Linked DNA regions of Alligator mississippiensis. The protein of the gene in region 2 interacts with the protein of the main gene of each other region in a pairwise test. Links are inferred from orthologs where the notes say so. Each region holds a gene or a part of one and is shown on either strand. Other genes may lie near its edges.

Region 1 (6,827 bases), on a different chromosome or scaffold from region 2:
AGCCGGGGACTTGGGCAAGAGAGCTATTGGGTGGGGTGGGGCCGGCCCTGCATGCTGCTGCCACTTGCAGCTGGGGACTGGCCTGGGGGTGCAGGGAGCTATGTGCTGTGGGGCTGGGTGCATAAGGACTCAGGGCACACTCAGCTTCAGGGATTCACACACTCCAGGGACCATGGGCAACTGGTGCCACCTTAGTCAGGGGGGGAACATACCTCCCCAGCGACCAGTCAGTGACTGGAGGGGAGTCCCCTGTGGCCAATCTCACCAACTGGAGGGGGGGGTGTCCCTCGTAGCTGATTGCACTGACCGGGAAATGGCCACAGAGCTCCCAGAAGTGGCTGCGACACTCCCACCTGCTCCCCCTGCCCGTCACCTAAGCAGGGAGTGCAGCCTGTCAGGGGGGGCACCAGCATTCTCAGGGGGTGCACGTGCACCCTGTGCACCCCCTATGTTTCGCCACTGCCAGGGACTCTGAGGACTCCCCCACCCCAACACACGCACACACACGCACCCACACCCTCCCACACACCCCATCCCAACCAGATACCCCCCATCCACCCACTTCCACATCCACCCACCATACCCACACTGTACCACCCACAATATATAAGAGTAAGACTGTATTTTGAGTTATCATGCAATCACCTCAAGATACACTATGCAAACACACAGAAATCAGGACAAGATTAAAAAAAAAAAAATTAAAGTAAGTTATAGTACGTTTGATTCTTTTAGTATATGATTTGGTTTTTTTCCAGCGTCAAGATGGCAAACCTCCACCCCCAAAAGGAGTACTACTGGGACAAGGGGAGGGACTTCTAGCAGCAAAGGTTAGGGGTTAGGGGCCAGGACTTCTGGTTCCCAGCTGGTGACCAGGGGGTGGGGGCACTTGTCAAGGGAAAGGGCTATCCTTGCAGCCCTCGACAGTTCCCCAAAACTCATTAAGCGGCCCCCAGCCAAAATAATTGCGCACTCCTTTATTAGTAGAGTTCGCTTCCTCAGAGAAGGGTTACTTGTTTTCATGTAGCACCACTCGTGTTAAAGGATCTTTACTGAACAACAGAATGACAGGTTCTCTGTCTCTGGAGGGGCAGATAATCTAAATGTAGAAGACACAAGCAACAGAGTGGGGATGGGATAAAATATAGAAGGGAAAAGATGGATTTGTTGTTTTTTAAATCAGTCAGTTTGTTCCAAGCTGTTGGGGTAGAGATAAAATGATAATTTCTTTTGTTACCAGCAGTTCTAACCCACTTTCTTGCTTTAGACAGCATAACCAGAAAATCACCCGCCACTTCCAATAGCAATTAAGCATAGTTTGTATTGTCTGCTTGGTGCATCTCACAGATCTTCAACTATTATTACTAGTATCACAAAGTACAAGGAAGACCCAGTGGAACTCAGGGCCTTGTACCCACAAAAAATAAGAGACAGTCACTACCCTGATGAGTTTACATATAAGACATACAAGGGATGGGAAAAGGATGCATTATTATACCCATGTTACAAGTAGAGAACTGAGGCCCAGGTAGGCTAAGGGCTAAATCCTATTTCACCTTCACTTAAGTGGCATAGCTGGGTTAGTACAACTTTTGGCCTTTATGCACAGAGCAGATTCTATTTGTGCGTTTGTAGTTATTCTTGCCCTGCGCTTCTCTTCTGCAAATGTTTGGTCTTCTGCACTCAGTCCATGTAGGCTCCATGGTAGGATAGAATCACCTGGGCGCACACATAATATTGTGTAAGTCTGAAAATTTTTGTCATGGAAAAGCCACGACTAGCAAATAGTTGATGTTGTAGGTTCTGTACCTAAAGGCTTCCCTTCACCTTACATTTAATATGCATTGGCTAAAATAGCTTTGAGATAGCTTCTGTCCCACTCGGGGCAGAATCCAGGACAATAAACAAGAGACCTTTCCCTTCTAGGGAGGCGTTTCTCTTACCCCTTTGGCTTACTTCACTTCCTCCTGGTGGTCCCAAGTAACTTCCCCTCCTGGAAGCCCAGTGAGACAGCTTCAAGAAGAGAGCTAGTATATTCTGAGTACTGCCTAGTGCATGGTTTTGTGGTTCCAGCACTTGGCTGAGCCATGGGAGAAAAAAGTGCAAACTCACTCTGGCTGGGGAGGGCCTACATCCTGGATCTCCTTCTTCCTGGGCAAGCACCCTAAATGTAGGCTGAAAAGGGGGAGGGGCTGGCCTCCTCTGTTTTACTTTGAGCAGGTACGTGAACAATCCTATTCTACCACAGATGGAAACAGAATCCAAATTGTGCATAAGCATCAAAAACTGTGGTTACAGAGCTATATAGACGCTACTTAGGAATGTAAAGGTGAGATTGGATTTAGCCCTAAGTGACTTGCTCAAAGTCGCACTGGAAATCTGTGGCAGAACTGAAATAAGAACAGTTTCAATCATTCACCACAAGAGCTTACTTCCAATCATGAGGGACTGCAGCATTTTGTGGTCTATCAGGGAGGTGATAAGGACACATAACATGATTTCTTCTTTGCTGAGTGGTATGATAAAGGCAATGTATGCCATCACCTTTCTCACAAGTTCTGTCTCTCGTGATTTGTTTTAGAAGCCAAAATCTTGGCAGGTGGGATCAGCTGAGTCCACTGTCAAAGCTACTTGATCTGTAGCCTGTTGGTGATGTGATTCATTTTGGTATACTTGTCTGGAACAATACGACAAGGAGGGTATTATGTCTTGTCCACTGGGATGCTTGTCTTTCTCTAGAAACATCATTTTACTTTGGGTAACACTATCCCTGGATAGCAAGAGGATCATTATAATTAAATAATGAAGTACCTGTGAGTGTTATATTTCCTAGCAATCACTTGCTTTTTAATCCTGACAATGTAGCAGGGTCCTGAGGAATGTGTGCTGGAGGGGAAGGCAGATAGGAGATGCAAATGTGATGGACATACACTATATTCTGGTGCTGTGTAGATATCAGTACTTTCCTTGAGGCAAGCTACAGAGTGGCTTTGGCACAGCTCATGAGAGCAATATGTTCTGACTATTCCCCACCCACACTTCTTTCTAGGAAAAAGGTGGAGGCAGCTTCCGTGTTAACATCCTTCTGACTACGATTGCTATACAGGCAGAGAATCCATTCAATTAACACAAACTGAATAAAAAAAACAAAGAAAACAAAACAACACTCCCCCCCCCCCTTTGAATAAAAGATGAAAAAAGTCTCTTTACCAGGAAAACAGACTTCTTTTCAGAGAACACAATGAGAGATGCAGCAGGGATTATCCTTTGCCACTGGCAACAAAATCTTCATATCAGCAAATCTGCCTGAAACAGAGTCAACAAAAGTTGTTCATAAAACCTTGGATAAAAAAAAAAAAATCAGGTTTATTTTTTTAACTTATGATTGGCCCTTAAATCAACTGCAATCAGTAAAGTTCTCTCTTCATTTTATTTCCTGTTATAGTCCCTGGAATTTGGCATCTGTTGCATTCTGGATCTGGTTTAGGGCTTTTTCCAAATCCAAGACTTGGGGAATTTTGTTAACAGTGCAATAAAAATAACTTCATAGTGTTACAGGGAAACATTAAAGCCTTTTTGTGTGCTGCTCTTTTCCTTTTAAAAAAAAAATACAGACAATGTTTCTTTAAAAGTCTCCATCTGCAAATCCCATTAGATGTGCATATAAGGTTTCGGATGATTAATAGTTGCCTGCTTTGCTTTGGTTGGAGGGGCTGAGTGTATGCAAGTTAACCCCTCCCTCCTCTCTCTCACATTTCACTTCACAAACTTGTCGCCCACTCCCCAGCACAGTATTTAAAAAGTGTTTCACCCATGTCCAGCATTTCACAGGGAGGCAACTCCAGGCCCTGGGAAACAATTCAGGCCAATTGCAGTATAGAATTGATTAATGTTTTCCAGCTACAACAATGAAGATGTTTAGTGGAGGTCCCAAACTAACAAATTGGCTACCAAGCAAACCCACAAACTAGCTGTATTTTAGCAGGGGTGGGGAAATCCAATTCTGGGGGGTTTTTTTCATAAAAGTTCAAAGTTGTTTTTTCCCTTCTCTCGTGTTCTTGAAGACTGAGACAAACCCAGCTACAGCCTCTGGAGCGTGGACAGATATAGAGCTGGCAAATGGATCCTTCCATGAGCAGCTGCATGCGGAGTCCCCATCCCAATACCCCACTTTGGGGGTGTCTACGGAACGGCACCACGGAGGTCAGCACTGCATCCGGGCTGAATCATTACCCTCAAGCACCTTTCTCATTCCATCAAAAACCAGACTTTGCTACATATTCCGATTTCTCAGCCTCCTGCCTGGCCACTGCGCCCCACAGCTTCCCTCGAGAGGAACGCGGGTTTGCAGAGCAGCATCCTTCCTTCCAGCCTTCCGACTGGCACTTTGCAGCCTCTGAGGCCAGAAGGCGACTAAATCCTGGACTGGCTTTGGGTTCTGGGGAGCTAGAAGGTGGCAGCCCAAACCTGGTGGGTGCTGCAGAGAGTGTGAATGAAGAGTATGGGGTACCAGGCAACAGTACTAATGAAACTGAGAAAAAGGCTTCCAGAAGGAAAAAGGAAAACTCAGGTAAGTGACATATCACTAGGGATGTGGGATAGCAAAATCTCCTCGGCCAGAGCGCCCATTAACTTCCACAGCACAGAAATTAGAAAAAGAAACCCGAGAGACTTATGTTTTAGAATTCCTGTCTAGGGAAAAGGTGTAGCTGGCCATATGGGACACTAACACTGAAACTAAATTGTTTTCTGTTTGATGCTTCCTGGTGTGTTTTTCCAAATCTTGCTGCCAAAACTAGCTACTTCCTCCATCCTCATGATGTAGCCTTTTTGTGTGTGAAAGAATCACATGGTGTTCTGCACATGGAGCTCACAGCCCTCCAACACATAATCTATGGCTCGGCTGCCATTTGTCTCAGCATGAAGTGATGAGAGTCAAAGGGCAAGGCAGCCTGGGATAGTGTCTTGCAAATCTCAACTCTAAACTAGTTAGCAATTACTATTACTAACCTATTAAGAAGTTAGATGAGGGTCAAGGCAATCAAGAGTAGTACAGACTTAGTTAGGAATAAACAGGAGCCAGCTCCCACTCCCTGACTTTTAAAGAGGTAAAATTAGGAAGGCAAATGAAGACTGGCTTGCTAAATGCATTCTTCTACAGTAGCAGGTGCCCTAGCATTTAGTACAGGCTCTCGGGGGTTATTCATTTTGTTCTTTGATGTCTGTGCAGTTAGGTACCAGCATCTGAAGGAAACATTCCAGTTCTACTAACTGTTTGTGAAGGGAATAGCATCTGTATTCACTACAGATCACAGGCTGTCTTCTAGTTCCCTACAGCAGTTGGCAATACTCCTTATTGCAGTGTCATTTTGTCATTAGTTTGTGTAGCCAGATGCATTTAAAGTAGCTTTCAGCTTTCTAACATATGAGGTGTCTACTCTTGTCCCCCGTGTGGTGTCTAATCCCACTCTCTGTGTTGATCTGACTGAGTTTTAATACGCTCAACTCAAATCCAAAATCAAAGCTTCTTTTAGCAACTCACCCGTCAGACAAGTCACCAGCATGCTTTGTCCTCAGCTGCAGAGAGAATGATACATACAGTTGAATTGCACTGTTTTACCTAGGAAAAACAAGTTATTTCCACACCCTAGAATCTCACAGCCAGTTAGCTACTGACTTGCTGTTACCTCACTTGTTCAGCAGTGTTAAATACAGAAATTAAGATAAAGGTGGGGGGGTTTGTAAGGAAGCTGTCAATTGAAGGGTTTTTATGCAGCTTTTCCTAACTATAGGATCTGTACACCTCACAAACTGTGACTGATTTATCTTCAGAGCATGCATATAAGAGACAACTGAAGCACAAAAAATGAAATGTTTTCTCCAAGGTTCCATATGTTATCCATAGCAGAGCTACGAATTCAGTCCAGATCTCCTGAGTCTCTGCCTTGCAATTAAACAAGAGAATATTTTCCCTCTCTCTCTCTCTCTCTGTCTGTCTCTCTCTCTCTCCATGGTTAGCCCTAATAACTGATTATGATTGTCTCCCATTTCTGTTTCCCCCTAGACACTGACAGGCTGTCGGTGCATATCTGAAACATCTAGTAATGCAACCCTTTCTTTGTTCCAGAGTCCAAGTTACTCCCTTTCATGCATTTATGATCTCTTGAAACCCAGGTAGAATTTATGACCATCTACAGCTGCACTCCCTCTCTGTCTCCCTCTTCCACCCAACACCTCCCTCCTCCCTCCCCCCCAAAAAAACCCCTTACAGAAGAATCCTTACAGAACAATGTTATTGTAATGTTGGGGTGATGTTGTAGGTGTCCAGGAAATACGTGAGAGGCATGGATACCCCAGCTACATGTCTGGGTTAGTTTTAGACGAGCTTTCAGATGAGGGCATTCTTGGGTAAAACCATCCCGACCATGCAGTTTGTCCAATGATAGATATCACTCTCCAAAATCTTTGCTCCCCTACAGAACAATACAATTTTAAGTTATTAAGTTCCTAACAATTCATGAGTTGGTGGGAGATCTCACCCCAATCACATTATCAGGGCACAGTTAGCAAATTGAGAATATTCCAAAGCATGTGCCCATGTGTTAAATGGAAAGCAAATGGTCCTTGGCACCTTTTACTTGCTTACTGCTGTGAGCAGCCTTGACACTCTCTTCTCCCACTTGCTGCCTGCACACCTGTCATTACAGGGGAACTATAAACAACCCATACATGATATCACCAAAATACAAATTGATTTCCTGCTTCCCGACCAACTGTTATTTTCATTAGTCTGCTTTCTCTAGTTTAACACTTTGCACAGACTGTGT
Region 2 (7,082 bases):
GGAAAGGGACATCACACCGAGGAATCCAGAAGTTGGGAGATCTTGGGGCGCTGCCCGAGATACAAAACCGGGGGACTAAACTACAGGAGCCTTTCCTTCAGTCCGTTAGCAGAATGCCACCCCTTCCTCCCATTCAGGGCGCTCAAGCAATGCTCAGAAAGACAAGATGAGGATTTATTATTTGCATTGCTCAATTGGGGCCCTCTTACGTTAAGTCCTGCACAGAGACAGGGTAAAAACCATTCCCCCCTAACGAGCATAATCCTGCAACCTCTCCTGTATAAATTGACTCCTGTGAGTACCCCCGAAAAGCAAAGGGGGTTACTCCCATGTGCAGTTTCGAGATCAGGTCCCAATAAAATCAGACCTCTGTTGTGGGCTGTACAGGGGCACGGGGGGAAGTCTGGCTGAGAATGGGGGGCTAGAAAGGTCATTAACCAATTCTGATTGTTTTTCCTCTTTGTGACAGTGCAATATCTTTAATCGCCGCTACATTTGTTTTCCTGGTGATCAGAAAAGATCTGTATTTAGACAGCAATCTCACTGGCTGATTCGAAACTCTGATCAGGAGGAGTTAAAGGCATTTTGATGGGCGCTTTAATGCTGATCAACAATCCTTAATAGAGCCCTGAAGCTGTGACTGCGTTGTGGGGTTTTTGTTCTGTTTTGCTTTTTATTTTTTTTGTCCTTCTATAAAGTTTGCAGCTTCCCAAACTCATTGGGAAGGTCCCATGGAAAGAGAGGTGCATTTGTTGCGGGGGGGGAAAAAAACCCAAACTGAACAAGCTGTAATTATTTAAAGATGTAAAAAAAACTATATTATAATATGATGTAGTATGGCTACCAATCCACATAACTTCTACACCTTTAGGACTAATGGAAATACAACAATGGTAATAAAAATAATCAAGTTTCCTTCTTTCTTATTTTTTCTTGCACTGAAATAAGTATGTGGTGGATCTGCAGTGATTCTGGTTCATGCGTGGTGCGCTGCCCAGCGTGGCCTGTGGAGGGTTGAGTGGGCCTTCGTGTCACGGACTCGGCATCAGAGGAAGTCAGAAGACCAGGCTGGGGTGAAGGATGCTTGCTGGTAGCAGGGCCGTATATGCTCTTGAATGACTCACATGGATTTGGAATTGATTTGGCTCATTTGACGTGGGACACAAAACATTTTCCTTAAATAAAAATGATCAGACCAAGAAGGAGGCTCTGGCCAGGAGGAACCAGGGTGACTGGGGGCATGGGTGGGTCCTAGGATCACTTCTTCACCCATGTCTCCTAGCAGAGTTTCACTGGGCGGCATCCGCTGGTTCCTTGGACTCGTTCAAGGGGCAGCGGTCGCTGGGCAGTGTGATCTGCTCGGTACCCCACTTTGAGTCAAGTCAAGTCAGTCCTGAGGCTGCTGCAACTGCTGGGACACCTTCGATGCTGTAACAACCCTCCTAGGTTAGTTGAGTTGCTTTTCATCATTGGTGATTCTTCGGGCAGAGCGACCTGGTGGCATCCACCTCTCCAGGGTTGGATGGCTGTTGGCTCGCAGGGAGCTCCTCTGCCCTTTGACAGGTCTTGCTTTTAGCCCTGATGGATGTCCGCCCACCCTCCTCACCTAGGCTAGTCTAGGTGGGGATGCCGGTTTAGTCGCTGACAACCAGACCATTGAACAGGCTGTGCTGGTTTACATGGTACCAGATACCCATCTTTCAACCCTTGTTTTTATCCTTCCAGCCCTGTTTGCTCTGATCTTTTGCTGTTCCCAGAATCTCTTGTTCTGTGTCTGGTGGCCTCCCTAACTCAGGTAGGCATATAGTTTTCTCGGTGGGTCTAGGCCCACCAAACCTAATGTGACGGATAGACGTGTCCCTCACTGTGGCATGGAGCAGATGCTTAGGGGAACTGTATTTACCTAGGGCCTGTCCAGACTGATCTGGATCAGCCCCCTTCATCTCCCAGCATTCGGAGGCCTAGGAAGGCCTCGTTTGGAGGGTTCACCCTAACTAAGGTGTTTTATACCCACGGATGAAGCGTACCCTGGTTGCTTGTTTGTTTGCCTCTCGCACACTGCCCTCCCTCCCCCTTCTCCCTCTCCCCGTCCCTTGCTTTTTATATTCAAATTTCTCTGGATACACTGCTTTTTGCACCTTGCACCTACATGAGAATGTAAGACCTGCCATTTACCGGGTCAGATCATAGATCCGTCTTCCTCAGTCTCCAGTGCCACACAGCGGAAGAGAGAGGAGGGTGAAAGGGAGAGTGAATGGGGTACGACCAGGGTTTTTCCCCCTATTCTTCTCTCACCTGTAGCCTCCAGCATTTAAGGTCTGGGAAGGTCTGACACAGAGGCTGTCCCCTAACTGCTGTGCTCCCATCTGATGAAGAGAGCTTCAGCCCACAAAAGTTTGTGCCATATATATATGTGTGTGTGTGTGTGTATTTACACATACATATGTATATATGTGTATATATATACATGTATATATGTCTATATATGTGTGTGTGTGTGTATTTACACATACATGTGTATATATATACATGTATATATATATATATATATGTGTGTGTGTGTGTGTGTGTGTGTGTATGTATGTATGTATGTATGTATGGACACACACACCAACCAAAGTAGCGAGATATATATATTGCTACTTGGGTTAGTCTACAAGGTTCAAAACCACCTTGCCTTCTAAAGTATTAGCCACCCTGTCCTGTGGCAGTGAATTCCACCAATAATTGCAAGTAAAATGCAAATCAAATTAATTAAATACACAAATCAAATAAGAGCCACCTGCGCGACTGGGATTCTGACGTGCCCTGACTTTGGATGGCTAGACTTTGCACCCTTCACTGTTTTCTTGGCATGCTTTTCCTTAGCATGCTGTTGTTTGAGCTTTGGCTGATTAATGTGAGATAAGTCTCTCTCGAACCAAATAAGAGTATCCACAGGTGGGTTGATGTGCATGCAATGAGTCCCTGGTGCTGGGGTGAGTAGAGGAGGCTGCCTGTGCCCAGGGGTTGCCCTAGAGAAATCCGTGTACTACTGCCAGGCCCAGAGCTCAACCCCTGGCCAAATCTCTGCAGGACGGCGGCTTTCAGGAATGGTAAGGGCAGCAGATGTGCTGCAACTTCAGATCCTGGCTGCCAGCCTCCCTCTCCACCTACCTGTGCCCAGTATGAGGCTGAAGTTGGTTCCTTATTCCCAGTTCCCTATTCCTTATTCCCAGTTCCTTATTCCCAGTTCCCTATTCCTAATCTGACCTTCATTTAGGGCTCTGTACTTGATGTGGAATATTATTTTGCATATTAATTAGTACATATGCAAAGCTAATGAAATTCTCTTTCTTTAGGGTGTGGAATTCATTAATAACAAGTTTTTATTGGGTCTAGATTAGCTTTGAAAAAGGAACCAGGAACGGGGAATAAGGAATAGGGAACTGGGAATGAGGAAATGGGAACAAGGAGCCAACTTCAGCCTCATTGCCCAGTTCAGTCTCCAGGACTGGGGGAACTGGTGGGGTGGGTGTGCCCAGTTTTGGAAGCCCCGCCCCTTGCCCACCTGCTAGCCAATTAGGTTGAGACCCAGCTTTTCCTGGGAAGGAGGCCAAGCTGGGGAAGCAGGTGGAGGGGGCAGCGGTGAGTAGGGGCAGCCTGGAGTGCAGGTTAGGGAGAGAGGGGAGGGCTGGGGGGTAAAGGACTGGCTGGGGTGGGGGGCAGATTGGGGGAAGGGGCTTAGCTGAGTGGGGTAGCAGGGCTGGGAAGGGGAGCAGAGGGCTGGGGAGTCAGAGGCTGGGCTGGGGGGGGAATTGGGCATGCAAGGAGGGGCAGGTGCCCTGGGGATTTGGGGGTCTCTGTCCGTTTTGCATATGCAAATACCCCTCTCCCCTCCTCCCCCAGGGTGCAGCGCCCTGCGCCCTGCTGCAGCTGCACCCACTTCCCAGGGCCGATCGGTTGCTCGACGCTCGATTGCTCCGGGGAGCGGCCGCTCGGTGTTGGACTGAGCAGGCCTGGCCAGGGGGTGCTGCCTGCCAGCTGCAGGGCAGAGGTGCAGGGGTGCAGCAGGGATGCTCCCAGGCCTGGGGGTGCAGGCAGCAGCTACCTCCAGACCCGCTCTCCCCAGGACATGTTGCATTCTCCTGACTCAACACTTCTTGTTTCAAAGGCAGATGATTAGTGTAGAGCAGCATTGTGCTGGGCAGGTTACAGGCAGCCAAGAAGCCAAGGGCTCCAATCCTTGGCCTCGCCGAGCATGAAGGGGATTTAAAAATGGTCCCCAACCTTTCTCTCCCCTGCTTCCCCAGCTCGCACGCAGTGAGGGGCTGGACGTCAGGCCTGCCCAGTCTATGCCCACTCTGCAGACACCTCTAATGTTGAGTGCTGTTGCAATACCACGGTTCGGGGGGTTTCTGTAATGGTGCCTAGTGAGCGGCAGCAATTATTATTGTGATTTAAATGAATGAAAGTCTCCTGGCACCCAGACCCAGCCTGCAAACCTTGATGGGGTTGTCTAAATGAGTGTTCAGAATGACTTAAACACTTGGGAACCTGACTCTCCTTTGGTTTTCAGTCAGATTTAGGCTCCTAAGTCACTTAGGCTCTGTGGAAAGTGCATCCTTCTGCTCCTCCTGAGCGTGGCTAGTTACAGAGCGGTGACCCAGGAGTTAAGGTTTGTGTCCCCTTACTCATTGGAGACAGGCAACCTGTCCAGTTAGCTTCTGGCCCGCCAGAGCTCCAGTGTATCAGGGCTCGGACTAAAGTGTGTTCTTGGAGCCCGGAGATTTCAACCGCCCAGCATGGGATCGCTGATGCACGGTGGGATTTGCATTTTGTTCAAGATCAGTAGAAGCCCCTAGGAGTCAGAGCAGGAAACCAGGCAGCTCGGAGGCCTCTTGCTCACCCACCTCCTCTGTGACTTGGAGCTGCCTGTGGGCATGTCTGGTCCCCAAATTTGCACTGTTTAATGCCAGTGGTTTGAAACTGGTGGAACTAATGTAGTGCAGCCTCCCAAGTGTAGCAGTCATTGCCAGGAACGAGCATCTCTACCCTGATATAACTGCGATCTGTTCTCATGCTGCTGCAGCTGAGTGGCTCTGGCATCATGAAGCAGTTTGATCTGAAACAGGGGCATTGGTACAGTCTGCTGCAGCCAACAGACTGAGCACATGATTTAGGGGGTGCACAGAGATGGGGAGAATCACTGTCTATGTTCCTCAGCAGTAGGGTGACCTGGCTCAAGGCATCTCAGCGGTATCCCTGCTGCTCCCTTGACGGCATCCGAGATGCCGGAAGGCCCGTCCGTGAGGAAGTTCCAGTTGCTGACCTCACCTTTCGTGGGGCAGGTGGTGGCCAAGGCAGGAGGAAGCAGCCGACAGATTAGCCTGAATGAGCTGCAAGGACTGGAGCTCCGGGACTCCCAGGTGAGTCGTGCTGAAAGGCAGCCTTGTCTGTGCATGTCGGCTCCTTGCTCACGCTAGAGTGCTGGCCTGGCCAACACAGAGAGGGTTACCATAAGGCACGGCAGCGAGAGATTAACTTGGCTACAGACAGGCTGAAGGGCTACCTACCCTGGCTACAAGGAAAAATAGAAATGCACCTCTGAGTAGTGACCCCTGGGCACTCGCAGGTGGCTCTCTGTCTGGCTCCACCTGTACTTGTAAAACTGAGCTCCTGAAAAGGTTCAGGTGGAGCAAGACTGTGCATGTGCAATTACCCAGAATGCTTTTGCTTTCCAAATGGTTGGCACTCTGGACAAGTTTAACTCCCCAGTGAAAGTTGAGCCTTTGGCCCATCATCTTCCAAGGCCAAAGCATCCTCAGAGGCTCTTGCAGAGACAAGCAAAATACGAGCTGTGCTGGAAGCTGTTGGCACAGCAGTGATGTGCTTGAGGTCTCTCCCCACCTGACTGCTCAGGAAGAAGGGGCGTCCTCTCCTCCTCACCTCCTTGCTACTGCACAAAAGGGAGGGGAAGTCCTACTGGCTTCGGCATAGTACCTTTATGTCTGCCCTCTTGCCCAGAAGGCAGAAGTTGGGATTAGATTCACCTTTCCTCCCTGCCCTTGCTCAGGGCTGTTTCATATAGGGGCAGCAGGCACCTGCTGCTGTTCTCTGCCCTGCCTGAACTGGAGACGAAGCAGCCGTCCTGCAGAAGCAGTGCCCGGGGCCTGCTGGGGAACATTTCCCTGCATGTGCCACATAGGGCTGGAAGCGGCCCTCTGAGCCCCAGCATCCCTTCCCCCAGCTCTTCCTTGGGATTTCCCAAGGCAGAATGAGAACCAGATGCTGCTGGCCAAAATCACTCAGTAGCCCCCTTTCCAGGATCTGTCTGCAAATGGTGATGCTCGTTCCAACAGTCTTCTGCCAAGCGCAGTGGTTATCAACAGGTGGGTGAGCCCGGGTTGGCTTGGATACAAGCTCCTTCCATCCACTGATGCTGCTGCTTTTCCAGGACCAGCAAGACTGGCTTTGATGAACAACTGCTGCAGCTCCCTCAGCGAGCAATGCACCGGCACTCCCACCTGGTTCTCAAGGATGGGTGATTTCAGAGCCATGTCTGCCCAGAAAGTTGAAGCACCTGGACTGCATTCCCCCGTCCCCAGGCCGTCCTGGTTTATTGTCTTCCTGACTGATCCAGATACTCCCCATCTGAGGAGGTCATTCTCCCTGCTCATCATTTGCAGGCCATGTACTCTCATGGATCCCTCTCCAGCAAGAACACAGACCTACTTTCCACATGACCAAAACCTTCAGCTTGCCACAGACCTCATAGCTGATGGTTCATCTCCGTATTTCTCCTTTCCCTTGTTTATGGGGATTGGAAACCTCTCCAAGAAGATTGTTGACTCGCCTCTTCGGCTCCTTCCAGAGATCCCGGACGTCTTCAGAGACTTGATGAAGAGCTTTCGAAGCCCAAGAGCTTGTTTCTCATTTCTGTCAACTGTATCTGTTGGTTCAGAAAAAGGTTTTGCCTCTCTTCATAACCCTCTGATACCAGTATCTCTGATTTGAACGTACAATTGAGGAACATGCAAGCCTTCAGATATTCTGAGGTTCCTCTGGTTATCTTCATAAATGACTGTAACCTCAGGATTTGA

The links. The genes of interacting proteins can lie anywhere in the genome.
Region 1: the proteins of NEIL2 (region 2) and MEOX1 interact in binary tests that used the Homo sapiens proteins (3 or more experiments, as listed by UniProt). The two-hybrid records come from large-scale screens. The link is inferred for Alligator mississippiensis from reciprocal best matches to the Homo sapiens genes NEIL2 and MEOX1.

The regions. Positions count from the first base shown.
Region 1 is NC_081827.1:153,166,824-153,173,650, reverse strand, and holds the start of MEOX1 (homeobox protein MOX-1), read left to right. Parts: upstream 1-3,810; 5' UTR 3,811-4,119; coding exon 4,120-4,570; intron 4,571-6,827. UniProt on the Homo sapiens protein: Mesodermal transcription factor that plays a key role in somitogenesis and is specifically required for sclerotome development. Required for maintenance of the sclerotome polarity and formation of the cranio-cervical joints.
Region 2 is NC_081824.1:8,147,183-8,154,264, forward strand, and holds the start of NEIL2 (endonuclease 8-like 2), read left to right. Parts: upstream 1-4,060; 5' UTR 4,061-5,270; coding exon 5,271-5,408; intron 5,409-7,082. UniProt on the Homo sapiens protein: Involved in base excision repair of DNA damaged by oxidation or by mutagenic agents. Has DNA glycosylase activity towards 5-hydroxyuracil and other oxidized derivatives of cytosine with a preference for mismatched double-stranded DNA (DNA bubbles).